3 linked regions of the Drosophila melanogaster genome follow. The protein of the gene in region 2 interacts with the protein of the main gene of each other region in a pairwise test. Each region holds a gene or a part of one and is shown on either strand. Other genes may lie near its edges.

The links. The genes of interacting proteins can lie anywhere in the genome.
Region 1: the proteins of Lcp2 (region 2) and CG5390 interact in a two-hybrid assay, tested with the Drosophila melanogaster proteins (one large-scale study listed by BioGRID).
Region 3: the proteins of Lcp2 (region 2) and Rcd7 interact in a two-hybrid assay, tested with the Drosophila melanogaster proteins (one large-scale study listed by BioGRID).

What each region holds. Positions count from the first base shown.
Region 1 is NT_033779.5:10,301,478-10,308,437, forward strand, and holds CG5390 (uncharacterized protein), read right to left. Parts: upstream 5,118-6,960; 5' UTR 5,035-5,117; intron 4,033-5,034; 5' UTR 4,029-4,032; coding exon 3,672-4,028; intron 3,606-3,671; coding exon 3,350-3,605; intron 3,293-3,349; coding exon 2,685-3,292; 3' UTR 2,592-2,684; downstream 1-2,591. Other genes in the region: CG13138 (uncharacterized protein), read right to left, coding at 1-382, 467-478; nmd (no mitochondrial derivative), read right to left, coding at 1,194-2,121, 2,178-2,359; CG4968 (uncharacterized protein), read left to right, coding at 5,568-5,642, 5,717-6,016, 6,081-6,494; Cdk5alpha (Cdk5 activator-like protein), read right to left, coding at 6,857-6,960.
Region 2 is NT_033778.4:8,431,405-8,438,842, reverse strand, and holds Lcp2 (larval cuticle protein 2), read left to right. Parts: upstream 1-4,057; 5' UTR 4,058-4,309; coding exon 4,310-4,321; intron 4,322-4,383; coding exon 4,384-4,752; 3' UTR 4,753-5,046; downstream 5,047-7,438. Other genes in the region: Lcp4 (larval cuticle protein 4), read right to left, coding at 752-1,078, 1,136-1,147; Lcp3 (larval cuticle protein 3), read right to left, coding at 2,960-3,286, 3,343-3,354. UniProt on the Drosophila melanogaster protein: Component of the larval cuticle.
Region 3 is NT_037436.4:19,543,008-19,549,884, forward strand, and holds Rcd7 (reduction in Cnn dots 7), read left to right. Parts: upstream 1-2,102; 5' UTR 2,103-2,173; coding exon of another isoform or gene 2,174-2,275; 5' UTR 2,276-2,301; coding exon of another isoform or gene 2,302-2,513; 5' UTR 2,514-2,542; intron 2,543-2,596; exon of another isoform or gene 2,597-2,675; 5' UTR 2,676-2,676; coding exon 2,677-2,957; intron 2,958-3,125; coding exon 3,126-3,709; intron 3,710-3,765; coding exon 3,766-4,094; 3' UTR 4,095-4,110; coding exon of another isoform or gene 4,111-4,222; 3' UTR 4,223-4,286; downstream 4,287-6,877. Other genes in the region: CG46434 (uncharacterized protein), read right to left, coding at 173-1,063; Ltn1 (listerin E3 ubiquitin protein ligase 1), read right to left, coding at 1,475-1,534, 1,598-1,765, 1,840-2,031, 2,302-2,513, 4,111-4,222, 4,290-4,724, 4,792-5,067, 5,125-5,308 and 2 more; CG46435 (uncharacterized protein), read left to right, coding at 2,174-2,275.

The DNA.
Region 1 (6,960 bases), on a different chromosome or scaffold from region 2:
CGATATGCTCGTGGATCTCTTCGAATGTATGATAATGCCTACTTTCCGTACTCTCATCCGCATAATTGGGACTCACATTTTTTCTTCGAGCACCAGATGGCTTATATTTCAGTTTATTCCTCGTCATTTTATCGCCTTGCTTTTGATAGTTTTTCACACCGCGTTTCAAAGTCACATTGCGTTCGGTTTCCCGATTATAATGTTGCAGATCCAGCTTTTCCGATCTTCTTCCGGTATTGTGAGTAGATCCTTTTCCGTATTCAGGATAGCTCCACTCGGCACTTTCGACACTATTGGTTTTATTCACAGCATAGGAATTACTGTGTGCAGTACTTCCAATAATTATTAAGGTTATGAATAGGTATCCAGGAATCAAAGTTAACTGAAATAGAAAGGATGCGCGTAAATGAAGTATGTACATACAAAATATCTCCTATCAAAAAGACAAATTGGAAATATAGCTTACCATTGGGTTCATTTTTTGTTAAGTATATAGTCTCGCTTGGATTTGAAGTGGTTTAATCAACGCCTTCAACAGAAATGATTTGAGCCAATCGAAGAAAGTATTTATATGAGCACGAAACATAATTAAAATGTGCAGAAGCAAATTTCTTCGCTTGAAGTTTGTACACTCTATATTTTTCTTAAATTAAGAAATTATACAAAAACATCAAGAACTAATTTGTTTTGGTTTGATTATTTAAAATGTATGCATGTTTTTATTCATTTTTAATTAGATATACAAATGTGTAGCTTTGAAATGCCGTCAGAAATAAACGACCTTTTTAAAAGAGAATAAAACTGCACAAGTTTACTTATATTTTTTTTTACGATTGAAAGCCCACGGTCGCGTGACGCAAGTTGTGTGTGTGTTTGAAGAAGTGTACAAGTGCAATATCTTTATAAATGTTTGAAATTTCTCTAGGTGAATATTTCACAGAAGCCCGTAAATGTAATAATTAAAGTGCATTGAGCTCCGCTTTACGGAAATGCTATGGATTGTGTAATTTCCTGCAGTATCCGTTGCTGTTTTCAAGACTACCAAAACTACGTTTTCCGGATACCCATTTTGGAATGCAGAGAACAGGGTTAATTAACACATAACATTGGAGCTCCTCTCGAAAGGCAAATAAAAAGTTTATTATACAAATTTAAGTTGGATATATCGGGAGCTTGAATAAACAATGGTCAGCTTAATCTAATTCGATTCTATTCTCTAAGAATAGGCTGCTCGTGTGCATCTTTGATTCCTTAATTTTTAAGTGCGAGCCCAGCAAATCGTCCATGGTGATGCGGACGTTGTTGCGATCAAGCGCTGTAGCTGACGGATCTCTGGACGTGATGAGCTGCCTCATTCGGTAAACTGAAGCATTCCGGCACATTTCCCGCAGGTCTGAGCCCGAGAAGCCATTTGTGAGCTTGGACAAGCGATTCAAGTCGACATCCTGACTTACTTCCTCCGATTGGAGGATCAGCTTCAGGATGTCTTTTCGTTGGGTCTCCGAGGGCAGACCAATGTGGAATTGGGCTGGCATGCGGCGCACAATGGCCTTGTCTAAATCCTGCGGCCTGTTCGTGGCACCCATCACAATCACCGTCGAGTTGGCGTTCGTGCTGAGGCCATCCCACAGCATCATAAACTGGGTCTTCATCATGGCGGTAGCCTCGTGGTCGTTCATGTTTCGAGATCGCAAAAATGAGTCTATTTCGTCAATAAAAATAATGCATGGCTCGATTCGCGATGCAAGCGAGAAGACAGCAGAAGTCAATTTCTGGGATTCCCCGTACCACTTGTCGGTAAGAATGGCGACGTCCAAGTTGATAAAGCGCATTCCCGCCTCTTTTGCCGTCGCCTTCGCTATCAGCGTCTTTCCACAGCCCGGTGGTCCATGGAGCAGGACGCCTTTGGGCGCCTGCCACAGCTTCGAATGCTTGAAGAGATCCTTGTGCTGGATTGGCAGCACCACCGATTCCCGGAGCTCCTGAATGACTGAATCCAGACCGGCGATATCGGCCCAACTGACTGTTATGTCGGCGGGAACAACAAGATGTGACGCAATCATAAGCTCGTAGTCGCTAAACTCTTGCCCTCTTAGCTTGAAGCCCTCCTGCTCGGCTAGCCTGCATGGAAAAGGTTTACACATGTACAATATATGCTATATGAGTCTAATATAAACCTCTTAAGCTGCTCCTCAGCCAGAACTTTGGCCTTTTTCTTGTTTTTACTGGTCGGATCCATCTGGTTCATCATCCATTTCACCGAATAATATGTGATCAGCGAGGCCACAGACAGGCGAACCAGTACCTGGAATATCTGCCCCTTGCTTAGATCCGATCCGCCCAGTCCGAAGTTGTCCATGTTTCTGCAGATATTCTATTTAGAGCAAATACGTTGGCCTGCACGAATCTAATCTTTCTTGTTCTTATTCCCCATGCACACCGACGACAGTGTGACCAGGTGCTCCGACTGAAATTGACATCGATAAGCTCAAAATTGCTGCCAACTGAATTCAATTTTTGTTAGCCTATTCCTTTTCCACTGTTCCGAAAATATTTTTTCAGCTTAAAATAAAAAGATTTTTTTTTTTTTTAATTTTGAGTATTAACATATTGGGCATATATTAAGTGAGAGCATTGTGAAGCATGAAGATTAAAACCCACAAATTCAAGTGACAATTTTGCTCTTAGGGTGTATAGTGCCTGGGGTCAATACTCCAAATCTTCAACTTGGCGTCGATCCACGGACGAAGCTTGGCCACGCTGGCGTACACTCCGGGAATGTTCACCTCGCCGCATCCGATGCCCCAGGCAACAATGCCGGCGGACTTGAAGCGGTTCTTCTGGCCAGCAATTGGACACACCAGTGGGGAGCCACCATCACCCTTGCAGGTGTCCTTGTCCTTCTCACCGCCGGCGCAAATGAAGCTGTCGTGCAGAATGAAATGCCTGCCGAGTCGAGTTTCGCGCAGATTCGTCTCGCACTGCTGCTCGGGCACCACGGGCATGTCGACCTTCTTCAGGATAACCTGATATTCCCCATCCTTGCCGAACTTGTTCTTGCCCCAGCCGGTGGCATAGCAGCGATCGAAATCGAATTTATCACCCACATTGGGCAGGCAAACGGTCTGAATGTTCTCCTGGAGGGTGAATGGACTTTCCAACAGCATGACAGCCACATCGTTATAGAGCGATCCCTTGTTGAACTGCTCATGGTAGATTATTTCCTTGACATATCGGTCTTCGTGCCTTCTGATCTCAGTCTGCGTTTGCGTATCCCATTCGCCAGCTCTCACTAAATGCCAGTTCATAATTAGATCTCATAGATGGCATAGATGGCATGTACACTTACCAACAATGCTACTGGGCTGTTTGTTGTGAACGCAATGCGCCGCGGTCAGAACCACATTGGGAGCTATCAATGCTCCTCCACATTCGTACAGGTTAAGGTTGCCTTCTTCCCGGAGAATGGCCAGCATCCAGGGGAATTCGCCGAATTCGGCCTCCTGGTTGACAGCTCCAGTGATCTTAAAGCCAACGCCGTTGGGATTTTGGTAACCGCAGCCCTCGGGATGATCAGGCTTAAACTCGAAAATCGGATCTTTTCTCTTAACAAATAAAATTATAGTTTAATTTAAGTAATCAAAGCTTATTGGTATTTATGTATGTGTTACCTTGTTGGGCAGATCACAGCAAAGATCCAAATAGTTCTTGCATTCGGCGTCCGTACCAAGTCGAATGTCAATGATACCATCGCCACTGGTGTTAATCGTATCATTGGCGCACAACCAGCGAGGAACACACTCCTTTTGATCGCCACAGGACTGGTACTGCGTTGAACTCGATCCTCCGTTTTCGGATCCCGTGCTACCGGACGAATCCTTGGGGTTCACCACTGGCGGGGGAGGGGATGATGGTTTGGGTGTTTCGTCCGTTTTAAAGATGTCCGATATCAATTTGTCCAAGGAAGAGTCCTGGGCACCACAGGAAAATATGCACAGGCATATTACTAGGCAATTTAGTAATATCATATTCCTGGAAAGCAAAATTAAATCATGCTCTTTACATATTTACATAATTAAGGTCAGAAAGCTCACTTATTCGAGGAAAGAGATGAAGATGAAGGTAAGCAAAGTGAGTAAAGCTCGAGTATTGGTAATATAATAATGATTGTTATTGCTGGAATATCGCACTTAAACCGGATAAAAGGTGAATGTGATTCCCCCAAAACAGAGTGACACATTTTAATGGAAGGGAGACGCGGATACGAATACGTTTATGTTTATGCGGCGAACAATTAACCTAATTAACTCTAGAATGTATTGTCTTATCAGTGAGGCTTTGCTTTCTTTTTTGAATACTAAAATTCCGAGCAAATATATACATATGTACGTATTGTTTCTTTTAGATCGCCTCATTATCAATCCTGATTGCTTTTTTGTTTAAATATGACTTTTGGCGATAAGAAATGCTAATGTATTGCGGTGGGTCAATTTTCGCTGTCAATAAAAACAAAGCATGTATAATTACTTTAAAACACAAAAATAGTTTCTTATGTGTAAGCGCAATCCCTCCATTTTTCGCAAGAGTTAATAATAAGTTATAACACACTAATTAATTGCCATTTACACACAAAGGTTCACCATTTTTGCTAACAATATGTTCCTTGCAAATAAAATAGGGCAAAAACTGGTTTTAGTTTCGAGTAAACTTAGCATTATACAATTCTTCTTCATTAACATATATAAATGTATTCCCATTGCCGCTGATTTGTGCTCATAAAAGTACGTGAGGCGGTGATATTTTGTACACTTTATTCATTGAACTTTAAGATCTTTTTGATTGATTAAAATATGTATATACACATGTACATACATATATGGATGAAAAATGTATTGTAGATGTTACAAGACATAGAAACCACCAAAAAGATTAAACTCTATCAGATATCCACATAACTGAACTACACATTTTCAATAAATTGAATTTGAGTCCAATTTTATTTAGTATAAAGTGTACTCTATTAGTAAGACTTACTTAATTTATCAAAGTAGCGCAACGTTCGCTGAGCAATGAAGAAAACACTCAACTGAATTGATTTCTTATTCAATCTTAAGTCTCAGCCGATGATCTTCTGACGAGAAGCTTTGAAAGCTGGTTCCAATTGAAGTTCCCAGCTTACGTATTACACAGCGGAAAACCAGTTCAAAGTTTTATTTTATTTTATAAATTTATAGATAATAAACATACACAAATTATGTACGTATATTTGTTATTAAAAACCGTTTTAATGGTTTAGCGTGTTTGTAAAATGCGATTTCAAATATTTATTTATTTTTATTCTCGAGCCAAGGAACAACTGGAATTGAAGCCCGATAACGATAGCTGTGCGACAAAATCGAAAGCATCAGTGTGTCCGTGAGTTTCGCCTCTAGACCTGTGTGTGTGACATTTGATGCGCCTACACATACATATGATGAACAGGAATTCTTTTTAGTTCATCAAATGAATACAAAGTAAAGTAAATTGAAAGGAAGCGCCGATCGCAGTTGTTCAGTATTCAGAGAAACATGGAGCCGTTTACCCATAATGATGGCAATCGCGACGAACTAATAATTCAGCAGAAACGGGATATTGAAAAAGAGGTGAGTCTGCAGAAACACTTACACACAATAGCGACAATGAACCGAGAAATAATGCCGAATTTCAATAATTGCAGATCAGCGACACAACTCCCTTGGTCAGCGAGCAGTTGCCACTCACCTGCTTGTATGCGGAATACAGTGGCGACGAGATCTTCACCGCCAAGATCCAGGATCTGTCCAAAAAGTACAAGTTCATTCGCCGCACCCGCCCCGATGGCAATTGTTTCTTCCGAGCCTTCGCCTACTCCTACTTGGAGTACTTGATCTCAAACACCAGTGCCTACCAGGAGTTCAAAAAACTGGCCGAGGAGTCCAAGGAGAAGCTCGTTCAGCTGGGATTTCCTAGTTTTACATTGGAGGACTTTCACGAAACGGTATGTTTAGCCGTACAAATGCAAAACGAATTCCCTATGCTTATGCAGCCTTTTGTATGTCCAGTTCATGGAAGTCATCCAGCGCGTTAGCCCCGACAATGCAGGAGGACACAGCACGGTCCAAGATGAGTTGCACAAGATCTTCAATGAGCAGGGTTACTCAGACTACGTGGTGGTTTACCTACGTTTGATCACCTCGGGAAAACTGCAGGAGGAGGCCGATTTTTACCAAAATTTCATCGAAGGCGACCTCACCATTGAGGCGTTCCGCCATCTGGAAGTGGAGCCGATGTACAAGGAATCGGATCACATCCACATAATCGCTCTATGCACCGCCCTCGGCGCTGGAGTTCGTGTCGAGTACTTGGACCGTGGCGAAGGTGGGACTGTGAAGGCCCACGATTTCCCCGAGGGAAGCGAGCCCCGAATTTACCTGATATATCGACCAGGCCACTACGATATACTGTATCCAAATTGAATTGCTCTCAGTAGTTTCTAGATTACGAAACGATTTATGTATATAAGATGTATAATAAACTACCATTTATTTGCATATATGGTGAATATTTTCCTTCTCTTTTGGTTCTGCATAAGATTGAGATTGATTGATTAGCCCAGCAATGGAAACACAGATTTTACACATATCGTAGATGTTAATTTATTTAAACACTAATCTTTATTATTTGATTTGAACGATTGTGATAGTGACATAATGAAATTGTCTAATGTTTTATAAAATATTAAGTTTTATTAACGGTACTTCGCCATCATTTCATCCGGAAATTTCTGGCGATGCGCAGACAATGAGAGGTTGACAATAATCTCCCGGTCGTCCATCCGTCAGGCGCCTCCACAGTATGATTTAATTGTAGGATGATATTGACCACAAGATTTCAGCTCAGTAAAGACTTCGGTAAAAAATCCCGGCTCAGCATTGATTTTAA
Region 2 (7,438 bases):
TTGCCAACTCTCTACTCCTAGATTTGAAGTTTATACTAGATGATTGACAATGTGAAGGGTATTGTATAACAGGTAGTCGATCGTTAAAGCCATGTTTGCATCAGGGTTTTTTTTCCAGTGTAACGCTCTCAAACCGTCTCATTTTGGCACCGAAATTCTTTCAAAAAAATGGTTATTTTAACTTTTTTCTTACAAATTTCTATCGGTGTACCACCAACATTTAAACCGAGTAATAATAATAATAAGTATTCGAAAATTTCACTATACCGTTCTTTACTGTTCTTTTAACAATATGAAGATGAAGAGTAAACGCAAGCAATTCCAATCCGGTTATATTTTGCTCAGCCATGACTTTTGTTTAATGAAATATTTTATTGCATTTAAAACTGTAATAAACAGACCGAATTTATACCTAAATCTGGTTTGATGGTCTTCACTTTATGTATCGCTAATTAAACAGGTTACTATTGGCTAAGATCAATCACGTAACATCCAGACAGTTCGTGATAATCTGAAGCAGCGTTTGTTCCCTCGGCCAAAATAAATCAGCCATAAACAAGGTAACTCCTGCTGCCGTCAGGGAAATTAAGACCATATCTAAATAGATTTGTTGCCAAAGAGTATCGAATTTATTTCCTAACTCGATAATCATTTATAATGTCTGCATGCTGTTTAAATTCTAAGGGTTAGAGGGCAAGGTCTTTGGAGTTGCACCTCCGATTCGAATGTGGGTCCTGGTCGTGTCGATTGCTTATTCCTTGCTGGGATGGGCCTGGATGTAGGCGATGGCCTTCAGGATGGCCTCTGGGATTGGAGGAGGAGTGGGCAGGAGGTCGCTCTGGGGCTGGTATCCGTTCTCGTCGGCCTTGTAGCTCACACGGACGTGTTCGCCCTCGGGGGAGACCCACTCGAAAACTCCGTCGATGTTTCCGTGGACATCTCCGGTAGCAGAAGCAGCGGAACCGTTGTCCAGGACCAACTTGCTTACGAAGCCATCGGCTTGGACATCGTTGACCAGCTCCTTGACCTCGGGATTCTCGTTGGCGGCCACCAGGGCGACAAGGGCGCAGACAAGCAGCTAGGATATTCCGGGATTACTCATTGAACTGTCCGGCTTTAAACTTCAGATACTTACGATCTTGAACATTTTGACTTGGTTAGATTGTCAGACTAAAGAACTCGTGAGACTGATGCCAATTCGGGATCACTCGTCGGCTTTTATACGCTTATACGCACTCCCCACGAAATCTTAAAGCTGATCAAAAGCTGATGCAACCCGTTTTTAATTAACATTTCGGCCAGCATAGGTCTCGTTTGGTTTTACGGACTGGTTCAAGTGACATGCTTGGTGGCGATAAAAATCGTCTGCTGCACTCTTTTTGATTTCTATTGTCTATGCAAATCGCTACCGTAATTATTCTAAAAAGAATCGGGTTACTCGGAAAAGGGTAAGTCCACCTTCTCATTGAAATAATTTAACATCTTCCGGAATATTTAGTCAGATAACTTTGAATTACTCCAGACAAATCATATAAAAATAACTTGATTGAATAATGTCTAAGCTGCTGATAGTAGAAGTTTAATTATTAGGAGGTGAAAAATAACTAGAAAACAAAACTTTTTTGCGAACCGCTTGTAGATCCAGCATACCTTTCGGAGCATCATTTGGTTTCTATCTGCGAAATGACTGGGAACGGGTTTATGGAATCTAACATTCTGTGTTCACCACCCTCAAGACTTGACTGACCGGGACTTGACATAAATCCTACTAAATTAAAATCTGCATAAACATTCTATTCCTCAAAAACTCTTACTCATATAACCTTTGTAAATAACATAGATATTAAGAATAGTTTAAATTGATACCGATAAGATTGGGTTGCCTAAGAAGAGCGTACTATTGCTAGTCAATTAAATTATTGTAAATAATTTCGTTTAATAAAAAAAAACATTGTGTGTATATTTTATCTCTAGTTTCCGTTAAGTCAATATGAACATTCCCGTGGAGTTTGACATATACAATGTATACGATTCTTACTTATACAATCACTATTAAACACTTAAGTTACAATATCATAATATAATCAAAAATCCGAAAGCACAGCAATTTGATTGATATTTCTCCAAAAATCACTACAAGATCTTATAACCGTGTAACCTCAGGGAAGTCTGTGTTATTTTTTGTTACGTGTATGACTATTTAAAAAAGGTTAAAAAAAAGATGAAGAATTTGATTTTTACATCTAGGCTTATAATGCCAATTTCAGTTATATTCATAAAAAGACCAATATAAAAACAAAAATTCGACTCGGCTAGTGATAATGATGATGAATATACATACTTTTTAGGTTCGAAAACGCTTCATAATACCCTTAATACCCATAATACCGACATGCGTTCTAACAATTCAAGTGTACCCTTATCCTCTACAAATAATAGATATAAAAAAGTTCCTCGTCGTTTTCATCATACTGCGATCTTATCTGGGATGCATCAGGTTGGCAACATTTAATTACTTGTGGCTGCCTATGAACTTAACTTAAAATAATAACTAGTTATAACCCAGTTTTCGGAAATATGAAATTAATGCAAGGAGATATCGGCTTGTCCAGGTAAGATTTTTGTAATGTTTACATTTATTTTAGATGCTTTAAAGATTTTTGTATTTAAATTAATTTCGTACTATACTATAACAACACAATTGTAATTTAATGAAGGCCAAAGTGTCTTTGATTACTTTTAATCTTCTAATTGTACCTTCTTATACCATATAATACCGGGAGCCTTCTCTTAAATCGAACTGTCAGATTTGTAAAACATGCACTTGGTTTATATTGCAAGGTTTAATTTATTTTCGAATTCGATAACATTTTCCTTAAATTTAAAACAACTGGTAAGAAATTATCCAAACTCAACCTAGCTGTCTCCAATCTTTCATGTTCCTAGTCGGCGGGTTCACTTAGTTCTTGCTGGGGTTAGCCTCGATGTAGGCGATAGCCTTCAGGATGGCAGCTGGGATCGGAGGAGGAGTGGGCAGCAGGTCACTCTGGGGCTGGTATCCGTTCTCGTCAGCCTTGTAGCTCACTCGCACATGGACACCCTCGGGGGAGATCCACTCGAAGACTCCGTCGATGTTGCCGTGGATGTCTCCGGTGGCGGAGGAGGCAGATCCGTCGTCGAGGACCAACTTGCTGACAAAGCCATCGGGCTGGACATCGTTGACCAGCTCCTTGACCTCCACATTAGCGTTGGCGGCCACCAGGGCGGCGAGAGAACAGACAAGCAGCTAGGATAATCCAGGATTAGACTGCGAAGTCACTATGCTCCTCAAGGCATACTTACGATCTTGAACATTTTGATTTGGGTGGATTGTCGGACTAGAAATCTTCTAAGACTGATGACAATCTATGCTCAAATCGGTGTTTATATATCATCAAAAGCTGATGCAATGTGCGTATTATAATTAAGTCAATGTGATGCATATAATAAAAACCGTCTGGGATGCAAATTAGTCGACTTGAGATGGCTTAACCACTTTCATTAGGAGATGAGCATTCTTAGTTATTTATTCAACTGAAATATTCGCCCTAGTCTAACCGAAATGCAAAGCAAACCGGACCAGAAACCAGAATAATTATTAAGCAGTACAATATTTAATTTTCTAAAATTCAACTTCAATATGAACTAAACTTAAGCATAGCATAGTTTTCGGTGTTTCATTTGGTGTGTGGCACGTTGACAACTCTGGCCAAAAGCTTTGCGGGTTTTTTTAAATTAAACAGTGACATCCAAAATATTGAGATACAACAAAATGTCATAGGCAACTAGCACGTTAATATGCAGTATCACTTGCGAAATCGTTTATTCCGGTATATTGTTTATTACCACTTCGGAACCTTTTAAAATAGATGGGACTGCTATCAAGTGAAGTGTATTGGGTTTTTTGATTTTGTACAGGCATGATTGATAAAGACTTGGTCAACTCGAAACGTCATCGATGAGCACAGAATCCGAAAACCGTACTCCATCGCCCCTACAAAATTTCTACCGAAGCATGTTTCATTTCGGAATCTGTTCAGCAGCGCAAGACTTGTTTTTTGACATTTGTATCGCAGAGTCAAGTGGAGAATTTATGGGCCCTGCCTTTTGTTGGCATCATGGGCGTTTCGTGATAACTTAGATTTGGCCCAAAAAGTAATAAGCAATTCGTTTGGAAAGCAACCAAATTGGGAATCATATAAAAAGACTCTGTCGACCAAAGTCAGTTATCAGTCAACGTTCGTTCTCGACCAGACAGAAATCAGCCAACATGTTCAAGTTTGTGAGTGGCTCACAGGACATTTATGAACTCGCCATCTAATTGGTATCATTTCCTCTATCCAGGTGATGATTCTCGCCGTTGTGGGAGTGGCTACCGCCCTAGCCCCAGTTTCCCGCTCCGATGATGTACACGCTGATGTCCTTTCCCGATCGGACGACGTTCGTGCCGACGGATTCGACTCCAGCCTGCACACCTCAAACGGAATCGAGCAGGCCGCCAGCGGTGATGCCCATGGCAACATCCACGGCAACTTCGGCTGGATCTCACCCGAGGGCGAGCACGTTGAGGTAAAGTACGTCGCGAATGAAAACGGATACCAGCCCTCGGGAGCCTGGATCCCCACTCCTCCTCCAATCCCAGAGGCCATCGCCCGCGCCGTTGCCTGGCTGGAGTCTCACCCCCCAGCACCCGAGCACCCCCGTCATCACTAGGACTCGTCACCCGGATCCCGGACCACTCCACGGACTGTTCTCCCGAAACAAATCGCCCAAGTTGTTTAGCTGTACTTCTTGACTTTCAAAAAAATACATGCACTTGCTTATAGCAGTAAAAATGTGTGTGTTCTTCATTGCACTTTTTAGGTAGTTCCTGTAATAATACGAGCTTTTATACCTCTACCTTCGCTGGGAATGCTTCCTTCTACCTTTTATATTCGATTCACTAAATCCATTTATCAAAAATGAGTATATGTGTCCATAAAGAAAAGATGTGCTGAATTAAAAATTAATTTTGTCTTTTAAAATTTGAGAAGGATCTGGGCAGTCTAAAAGATCTGAAAAACAAAAAAGCAAATGTTTGCATACAATTTTATTCTCACTAAAAGTCTCAATGCATTTTTTTTTTATTTTAAGTAGTATTTAAAAGCCAATTAGAGAAGCCAATACCAATGGACAAACTTATTGAAATAGAAAAGCAATGGTCAATGCCACACGAGCCGATTACCCTAGTATATACTCGTAGTACTAATCCCGTGGATTGCCATGCGATGCTTTTTAATGGGTGTGGGGTATCTTCATAGTCAACCCAGATTTCAGAGCACCAATCGTATGAAAGATGTAGCGTATTGACTTGGGTTCAGTTTTGGTGGTTATCAGTCAACGTTCGTTCTCGAGCAAACAGAAATTGGAATCTAAAATGTTCATGCTCGTGAGTAACGGCAGGATACGAACGTATTCAATGTCTATGCTCTCGTTCACGTGGTGATCTGTGCAGTTTTTGGATTGAGTGGCTCATCCCCCATCCCCCATCCGTAGGACGTTTCGAAAGTGACAACGCCGATGTCCACTACCAATCATACGATGTTTATACCGATGGATTCGATTCCAGCAGTCTGCACATATTCAACGGAATCGAGCGGGCCGCCAAAGCAGATATCGATGGTATTTTTCAGGGCACTATAAAATGGATCACCCCCGAGGGCGATCACGTCGAGGTCACGTACGACGCTGGTGAGAACGGATACCAGGCTTCGATCAGCCTTGATTCCGACTCCTGCACCAATCCCGAAGGCGTTCCACTGACCGGTACCCGAGCATCCGCACCATCACCAAGACTCTTCACCCCGATCTCAGACCCATCCACCGACTTTCCATCGACATGTTATATATTATTCAATAAAGTTTTTTACCCGACATAAGTAAATGGTTTCAAAAAGAGAGAAGAATCACCATGAACGGCATTCCACGTAGTGACGAAGCGCACCAGAGAGTACAAAGACAACTTCTATCTGCTGTAGTTGTCTTATTATATTGTGTGATAACCAATAGAAAGGCAGCATAAAAAGTAAAGAGATTGAACCGTAAAATAATCTAAGAAGATAATGAGATAAAAACATACGAAGATAAACTGAAATGATAATACCCGTTACTCGAAAGTAAAATGGAATACTAGGAAAATTATGTAACAGGTAGAAGGAGGCGTTTCACACCATATAAAGTATATATATTTTTAAAAGCGATCAATAGCAGAGTATGTCCGTATGAACGCCTCGACTTCAAAAACTAGAGAGTTAAGATTAGATATGAAGATTCCAGAGGCCCACAAACGGCCTAAAACTGCCACGCCCACACGTTTTGAACAATTCAATAATTTTTTTCATATTATTATTTGTTTCCAAATTTTTACCGATATTCAAAAAAGTATTGAAATATATCGGTCACACTTCCAGCTGAGTATAGCATTCTCTCTTTTTAAAATAAGACTGGGAATTTGTTTGGTTGTTTGTCTGTCTGCAAATGCACCTCAAATAAATAATGTCATAAAGCGTCCCGAACGAGTAACTTTTAGATATTGTATTGTCTTAGTTGAATAAAAACTCTATTTTCGTCACAACAGTTAATATTAGAAGCTTGGATTGTTAAAGGTGCGATAGTCACTAGCATAAATCTCAGAAGAGGCTATTCTGTTTGATTACAAATTAATCTTAACTTTCAAACCAAATTTGTGAGGATACTGTGCGGTCTAACTGATCTGAAAAACAAACTATTCAAGCTCTTATATTAGATGTTCGGCTTGCACATTTAAATACCATGAAATGTATCTATAGGAATTATAAATTTTAAGTAAACTTTTAGTTTATATGCCTATACAGACAAGTAAATATCCTCTTTAGGTTAACATTAGGTTTTCTTAACAATTTTAATTGTCACTAAAAAACTATGTATTTCGGTAGCCTCCTATATGGAACAGGTCTTATTATCTTATTTAATTTTACGAAATATAAAAAAATAATATAAGGCGCTATGCATATGAAATATAATGTAAAACACACTTGAATTTGTTTAAAAGCAAACTGCAACCTGTTCGTCGAGAGGAATTGATAAAAAAAAGAAGAAATGGTGCCAAGGTAGAGACACACGTTTATATATTACAAAACATCGAGTCTAAGAAGTCGGCGATGCTTTGTAGTCCATGGAGTCTTGATGGGACTACAAAAGTGGTTCACGGCCTGGCAATGCCAAGTCAAGCTCAAAGGAGGGGATTTAATGAAGGGGCGGGTCAAACTCGTTTCGATTTCGGGATGCCACCCGACCCGTTTGCCCCTTATTGATGCGATTGTTTCATTTTAGCATCTATTAAGCGATTATATATAGTACTTATCCCGTTGTTTGGCATTTG
Region 3 (6,877 bases), on a different chromosome or scaffold from region 2:
GTGCTGCGGGCCCCACCCCAAGGAAGTCAGTTCACCAGGGCGCATGCTCAAAAGGGAAGGTTTATTGTGCCGAGTGGTGGATGATGGTGTAAAAAGGTCAGCACGTGGGCAGCCGAACGGTATGACTGTTAATTTTGAAAAGGCAACAAAATATAAATATATTGGTCTCGCACTAATATTTGCGCTTTTTAGCAGGCGGCTCTTCGTTCTCCCACCAAGAACACTGCGAGGACCGCTTTTTAATCTTCCGCATCATATCCTGCTCCTCGGTCAGCATGGCCACAATGACCTCGGCATTTCCCTTCAAAGACTCGGATGATTCACTGCAGGCCGGATCACGCCCAAACTCCTTCTCTACCAACCCCAATACACATCCAGTGATCGCGTCAACATTTTTTGATTTATCCTCCTTCGCAGATCCCTTCGGGACATCCTTTTCTCCCAATTTATCCTGTGAATTGTAACTATCTTTAAGCTCCTCCTGGGCGCAGGGATCTTTATCTATAACCAATTCCTCCAGTAAACTATGACTTTTATTCAATTCATTCGGGTTGTACGAGCATTCTTCCAAGTTTTCTGGTGAACTTTTATCATTGTTTAAATGCTCCTGTTGGCAAGAATCTTCTTCCATTTTCTCCTCGAAATCTAAAACGTCTTGAATTCGGCTCCTTCTGTTTGACATCCGCGTTGGTTTTTTTAATTCGATTTTTTTAGGTTCATACATCCCAAGTATTTCTTTCTTCCTCTTCGTAAAACTTGATTTTCTGTTCCTAGTATCTATCTTCGATTTACTCTGGGAGAGCGGAGCTTTTATAGTTTTTTTGGCTATTAACTTCCTTACAGAAATGTTCCTTCCCTTTCTCATCGAAACTCGCTCTTTTTTGGTTATATTACCTTGTACTTTTTCCTCCTGATCTTGCGTCTCCTCCTCGGATTCCAAATGAAGTGGTGGCTGCACTTCGTTTACCAGTTTAGAAATCCTTTTGGCATCCTGTGCGGACAGCATGTTGATAGGTCTTAAGTCTTTGGCCACATGACGATTACAATATGGGCACTGACCCATTACTTTTATTCTTGTAGCCATAATATAAAAAGTTCTTGATTATCCACTGACAGCATTAAATATATTGTAAAATTGTATTGTGTTGTACAGTGTTGTTGTGAGTACTGATATCGTTTGAGAACTGTTTTAGTAAAACAAACTTGTTATTTGCTATGGATTACCCTTCCACGACATACTTTGTTTCAAACTTTTAATTTTTCTTTAATTTTAATGCACTATTTAGTTTTTACAATTAAATAATTTCAATCCCTGCACTATATATATATTCAAGAACATTAAAACATTGTAAGATTTATTAATATTGCTGATTTACAATTTGTGAGACCTGAAACTATTTCCTATATCGAATGGTTTGGTTGTGCCTTTTGCTCAATACGTGTTGCTAAAATTGTTAATGATATATACACACATCTAGAAGACGTTGCGGCAAATGGGACAGGTGGACTTGCTGCTTGTGGTAAACCATTTATACTAAAAAAAATGTAATCATTTCGTTAGATCGGAGAAAAAAAAAGCAGCTTGGAGGAGTCTTACCAAACAAGGTCCGTGGAATTTCTTCTTGCACGTTTTACACGTTAGTTTGGGTAGCTGGCAAGTCTCCTGGTGGATAACAGTATAGCACACGTAGCACTCTTCAACGCCCTCGAATTTTTTGTCTAAGTTGTTTTTCCACATAGTTAGGCCGTCATATATGGTGCCATTCTGCATAAGACAATTTTAATATTATTATTCAGCGGACATCGAGTAACATACGAAATGTATCAATATCAATATACCTGGTGTGTCAGGAAGATGGTCAACTGCATGCCGACATTTCGGGAGGAAGCACGTCCGCCGATCTGCTTGCCGCACTCGACCTTAACAGCTCCCAGTGGATAATTGGGAGCCAGCGTTATTACAAGTTCCATGCGTGCCTCATCGATGGCGTAGACCGCTAGCACTTCGCGGGTGGAGGAATGAACGGTAACCTAGAATAGAGAAATGTCAACTTTAGTCACATAGTTCAGTAGACTATGATTGTTTGGGATTTACAAAATATCCAAAGTTTTTTTATTCAACGGAAATTTAAATATATAGCGAAAGCACACTTATATCCCTTCTAGCAGAGATATGGTGCCTCTTGAGATATTTCGCGTTATTGTCATTATCATACTGCTGATTAGCATCACCGTGGTTTTTTCCCTTCGGCTAAGCACCCCAGAGCAAGAATAAAGACTTGAAAGGACACATCCGCTTACCTGCATATTCTCGTGCTTCTCCTTGCGATTGGCGATCGCTTTGAGCTCCTCGCTGCAAATCAAAGAACTCACGTAGTTTGTGGTCAGGTTGTCTATGAAGTTCTTCTGCCTGGACTGAGTGGCGTTCCACCACCTGCGCACCACGGCAGGCAGCTTGCGGAGCACCTCCGTGTACAAGTGGCAGGCATATCGCTCCAGGGGTAGATGTCGATCTGCAAAATGGATCAAGAAATGTAACAAGGCAAGCCAGGCTGCGAGTAGTCAAATTATGTTTATATAGAAAACAGTTCACTTTAAATCATTAGTCTCCTACCGTTCTGTGTATTGATCCGCTTCTTATTTTTTTTTTTTTGTATTTCCGTTCTATTTGAAAGCATGGAAAACCCAATAAACTTCAAGGATATACCCTCCGAGATGCCGCAGCCAAAGCGCATTCAACTTGAGGGCGAGACTTCGGTGGCCGAAGCCATAAACTTCCTGAAGACGCAATGCGATACGCGCAAGGAGCACAAGCCTGAGGAGTTTCAGCAGGATGGACCAACCGTAGCGGACGAGTTAAACGCTCGCCTGGCCATGGTTCATGTGCGCGAGACTCGTGCCAAACGCATTCGCCGCTTAGTTAAGTTTTCCCCCAATGAGACGCAAGCATTGTACAGGTAAGTAAGTATCAAGTTTTTCCATATCCAATACATGCATATTTTCGGAATTGCTTTGGCTTTTGGAATGTTTTTTCATAAATTAAATCAGACTTTTAACTTTCCTTTTTTACTATAAACAATAAACGATTCGATTAAAACCAATACAATATATACATTGGCCTGAAGGTTCATCTGTGTCTGTCCCCGCTACCATCCTTGCTATGTGCCCTGCCAACACACGGGACAAATAATCATCGACCGGGACGTGTTGTCCCGCGAGGAACACATATGTTTTCTAGCTACACCCAAGAAGGACTTCTCCTCACCCCAGTTGGCCAAACAGGCGCGCTACTACACCAAAAAGATCTACGTTAACCAATGTACAGCACGGGTTGAACGACTTGCCGATCCTCACCCAATGCGAGTGAGTGACACATACAATTTCTTTAAGGACTACCTCTCGCCTCGTCATATAGCGGCTCTAGAGAACCAGATGAAACCCAAACCTCCGGTAGAAGCCATGTCAATGGAGAAGGCGCTGGAATACATGGAGGAGGAGATGCGTCAGCGCAAGGCAGCGAAGCGTGTCCAAAAGCGACGATGCAAGGGTCTAAAAAAACGAATCATTTTGCGCCAGCGCAAGCAGATGCAAAAGATAATTTGCGTACTGTTCGAGGAAATGAAGGACTTTCTACTCAACGATCAGTTTATTGTTGACGAGAACTCCCCTCTATGTTGCGTAATTCTTGAGAGACTTCGAGAATTTACAGGTAAGTTGAATCTAACTGGGACACTTCAAAAATTAACTAATTGAAATCATCAAAAGATCAAGAATTCTATACGACAAGTAATTTGCAAGAGTATCAGAGGATATTGGCCAACAACCTAACCGTTTGGGTCAACAAGTTCATATCAAACTTAAACATTTACTTGACACCTCAGCAAATACCTGTAAAACGACAGATGATGGCAGAGAACGATCCCGAACAGTTTGTGCCCTTGTCAGATTTCATTTCTGTATCCGATGAGGCGGATGCAGAGGAAATGATGAACGATGTCGAGCACGGAGCCGCTGAATATGACGACTATGGATATGGGGAGGACTACTTGCCCGACGTTCTCAATACGGATATATCGGAGGAAACAATAATCTAAGTAATGTTCAGCTTACCCTTCTGCTGAGACCAGGTCAGCTCTTTGTAAACGCCGTTGCTGTGGACCTTGGCACCGTGGTTCTTAAGTATGTCCACGGGCATTGCGCGGAAAAGGAAGTGAAGGAAATTCTGTGGAGCAAAGAAATTGAAAGTGTAAATTTAAAATTATTAGTAAATTTAATGTATCGTTTCCAACCTCTTCGTATTTGTTATCATTCAGCCAATTGGTGTAAACAGCGCGCAATGCAACTGGAGACTTAGCGCAAGCATTGATAATACAATCCCATAAGAAAAGGTAACTCAGTGCATTGTGTCTGTCTATGGGTTCGAGATCATCCAGCTCTGATAGCTTGAACGTGAACTCTTCCAGGTATTTAGTTATCAGTGCATCGTAGCGTGTTAGATAGTCCTCAAAGCGATTGAGGAAGTGCCACTTGCAAATCGTTGTGCTGGCGTCTAGACTCTCACTTTGTTTCTCATTCAGCTCTATGTCGTCCGCCACAAAGTGTGGCGTTAATTGGCGAAGCGAGTGTACAGCACTTAATCGAACTGAGTGCTGGACACTATAAAGCTGCTTGAACAGGAAATTGCAGAGGTGGTCCAAGGTGATGTTACTATTTGACTTGCAGAACTGAAGTGTAAAAAGGTTTTTGAAGTTATTAGCCATAGAAAAACAACAAAATATTTCACTTGATTACCGAGTACACAAAGCTGTAGTCCAGTCGCTCTATGACCGGTGTTATTTGTTCTAGTAAGGCCTCATAGCATGCCTGAAATCCTGGATCCACACTAACCTCGTGGGTCAATAGGTAATATGACTTAAAGAGCACTAAATTGACTTCCTTGGCAAACAAAGAGTCCCATTCGTCGATCATGTTTTTGAGTAATTCCGTGGAACTCTTTTGCTTCTCGGAGCGTATAAAATCAATAAGGGCGGCAAACAATTCGTAAACAGCCACAATAAAAAGCGAAGTCTTCAATTAAAGATAATTTATTATTAATTATGAAAGAAATTTATTTATAAAGCCTACCTTTGGGTCTTGGTATTGTGCTATAGATTTTGAAACAGAAAGCACCCAAGAACTAAGGCCAATGCGAATAGCGTCCCAGTTCTTTATACTCAATTCGTATGGAAAACGTTTTAAAACTTCAGTTAAAAGCTTTATGAACTCCACTGTATTTATAACTGATTCGTAGGGTTGCCTTTGAATTTCTCTGAAAAATACAAACTTGGGTTTTGAATCATATACATTTTATGAAAATTATATTGTCTTACACATTATAATGGAGTAAATCCTTCTGGCTGGCTTGCCTTTCCCCTATGCTGGTCATAAACTGTACGGCTGATACAATTATATTGCGATCCGTTTGCTCATTCACATCGCCTTCAAAATTGTTTAATAGTAGAGCATGAAACACTGCTGCCTTAACCCAAATTTCAGGCGGTTCTGTTCCCATAATCGCAGAACTAAGAGTGATCGCTTTTTGAGAAAGCTTCGGTAAGAGAAACTGTAAGACACAAGGCATTATTAAGTGTTCCTGGATTTCTTTTAGAATTCCTACCTGTAGAGCTATTACATAGGTCTTGAGCGCTCCCTGCGTCACTAGATTTTCTGACAGATCTTCATGTAGCAAAATGGAGGCACTCTCTTCGAAAGCCGCATACTGTGGGCAAAATCTAAGGTAACTTAAAAGACGACAGTCAATTACGCTGGACTGCTGCACAGCCGCTTGCTGAAGACGCTCCTTTACTATTGCAACCAGATCGCTGCTGTTGCCCATAAAGCTTTGCACTTTCTCCGAAAGGATCAACACTAACTCCTCTGTCGACGATTGCAAGACTGACATTTCCAGCCAGCATTCTGCTGTTCCAGCCACTCGAATGCACTGTAAAAGCTCTGCAATTAAGGGTTCGTTCCATTTTTTGAGCACATCAGCATTTGGATCACAATAGTCCTCGGTCAACTCATCCTCTGGGTCGTTGGTGTCTTGAGGTGGTGGGAATTGATAGACGAGCTTGTAGATTGTAGAAAAGTTGAGTGTGGAACGTTGAAGCAATGGTAGTATTTCATTTCTTGAGAGGCAAGCATTTTCGAACGGAACTCCCGCAGTCACAGATCCGTGCAAGGCTTCTAGGAGTACACAATGGTTCTCAAACTGTTGAACCTTGTCAGTCGTTTTTAGGGGCGTTTCCAGAAGAGCAGTTAATGTTTCATCGATTCGCTCCAAGCGCTTATACTCATCTTCAATATTTTCCGTTGAGCAAATAACAAACTTGGCCATCGCCTCTGCCATTCCATCCAAAGTATCCGCTTTAAGTTCTGCTGAATTTGCCAATTCCTCAACAATCCCTGCGCAACACTTTAGCATGTCATCATCGATTTCGATATCTTTGCTAGAAAGTCCATCCTGCCAGCAAGTGGTAATTTCCCACAGAGTATCCTCCGACAGATAATCCTCTGGTCGGTGCTCCAAACTAAATTTGAACAGTTTGAGGAAGATGTGTTGGCGCACGTGCAGCGAAGAGTTATTGTTGCTGCAAATCACAGGCATTATCTGGGCAATAAAACTGCCACACACTTCCACCGCGTCATCGACAACCGGTTGCTCCAAGGGTCCGCACATGGACAGCAGTATTTTATCCACAGTTTTAGCATTAATGAGTATGTCTCCCGTGTCAGTTTGGAAAAAACACTTGTGAAGCAAGTTCAGCTTCTCCCGATCATTGTCTACAACAACCTCCTCAGCTATCCGCGCAATCATTTCACAAGTTTCCGGACCACT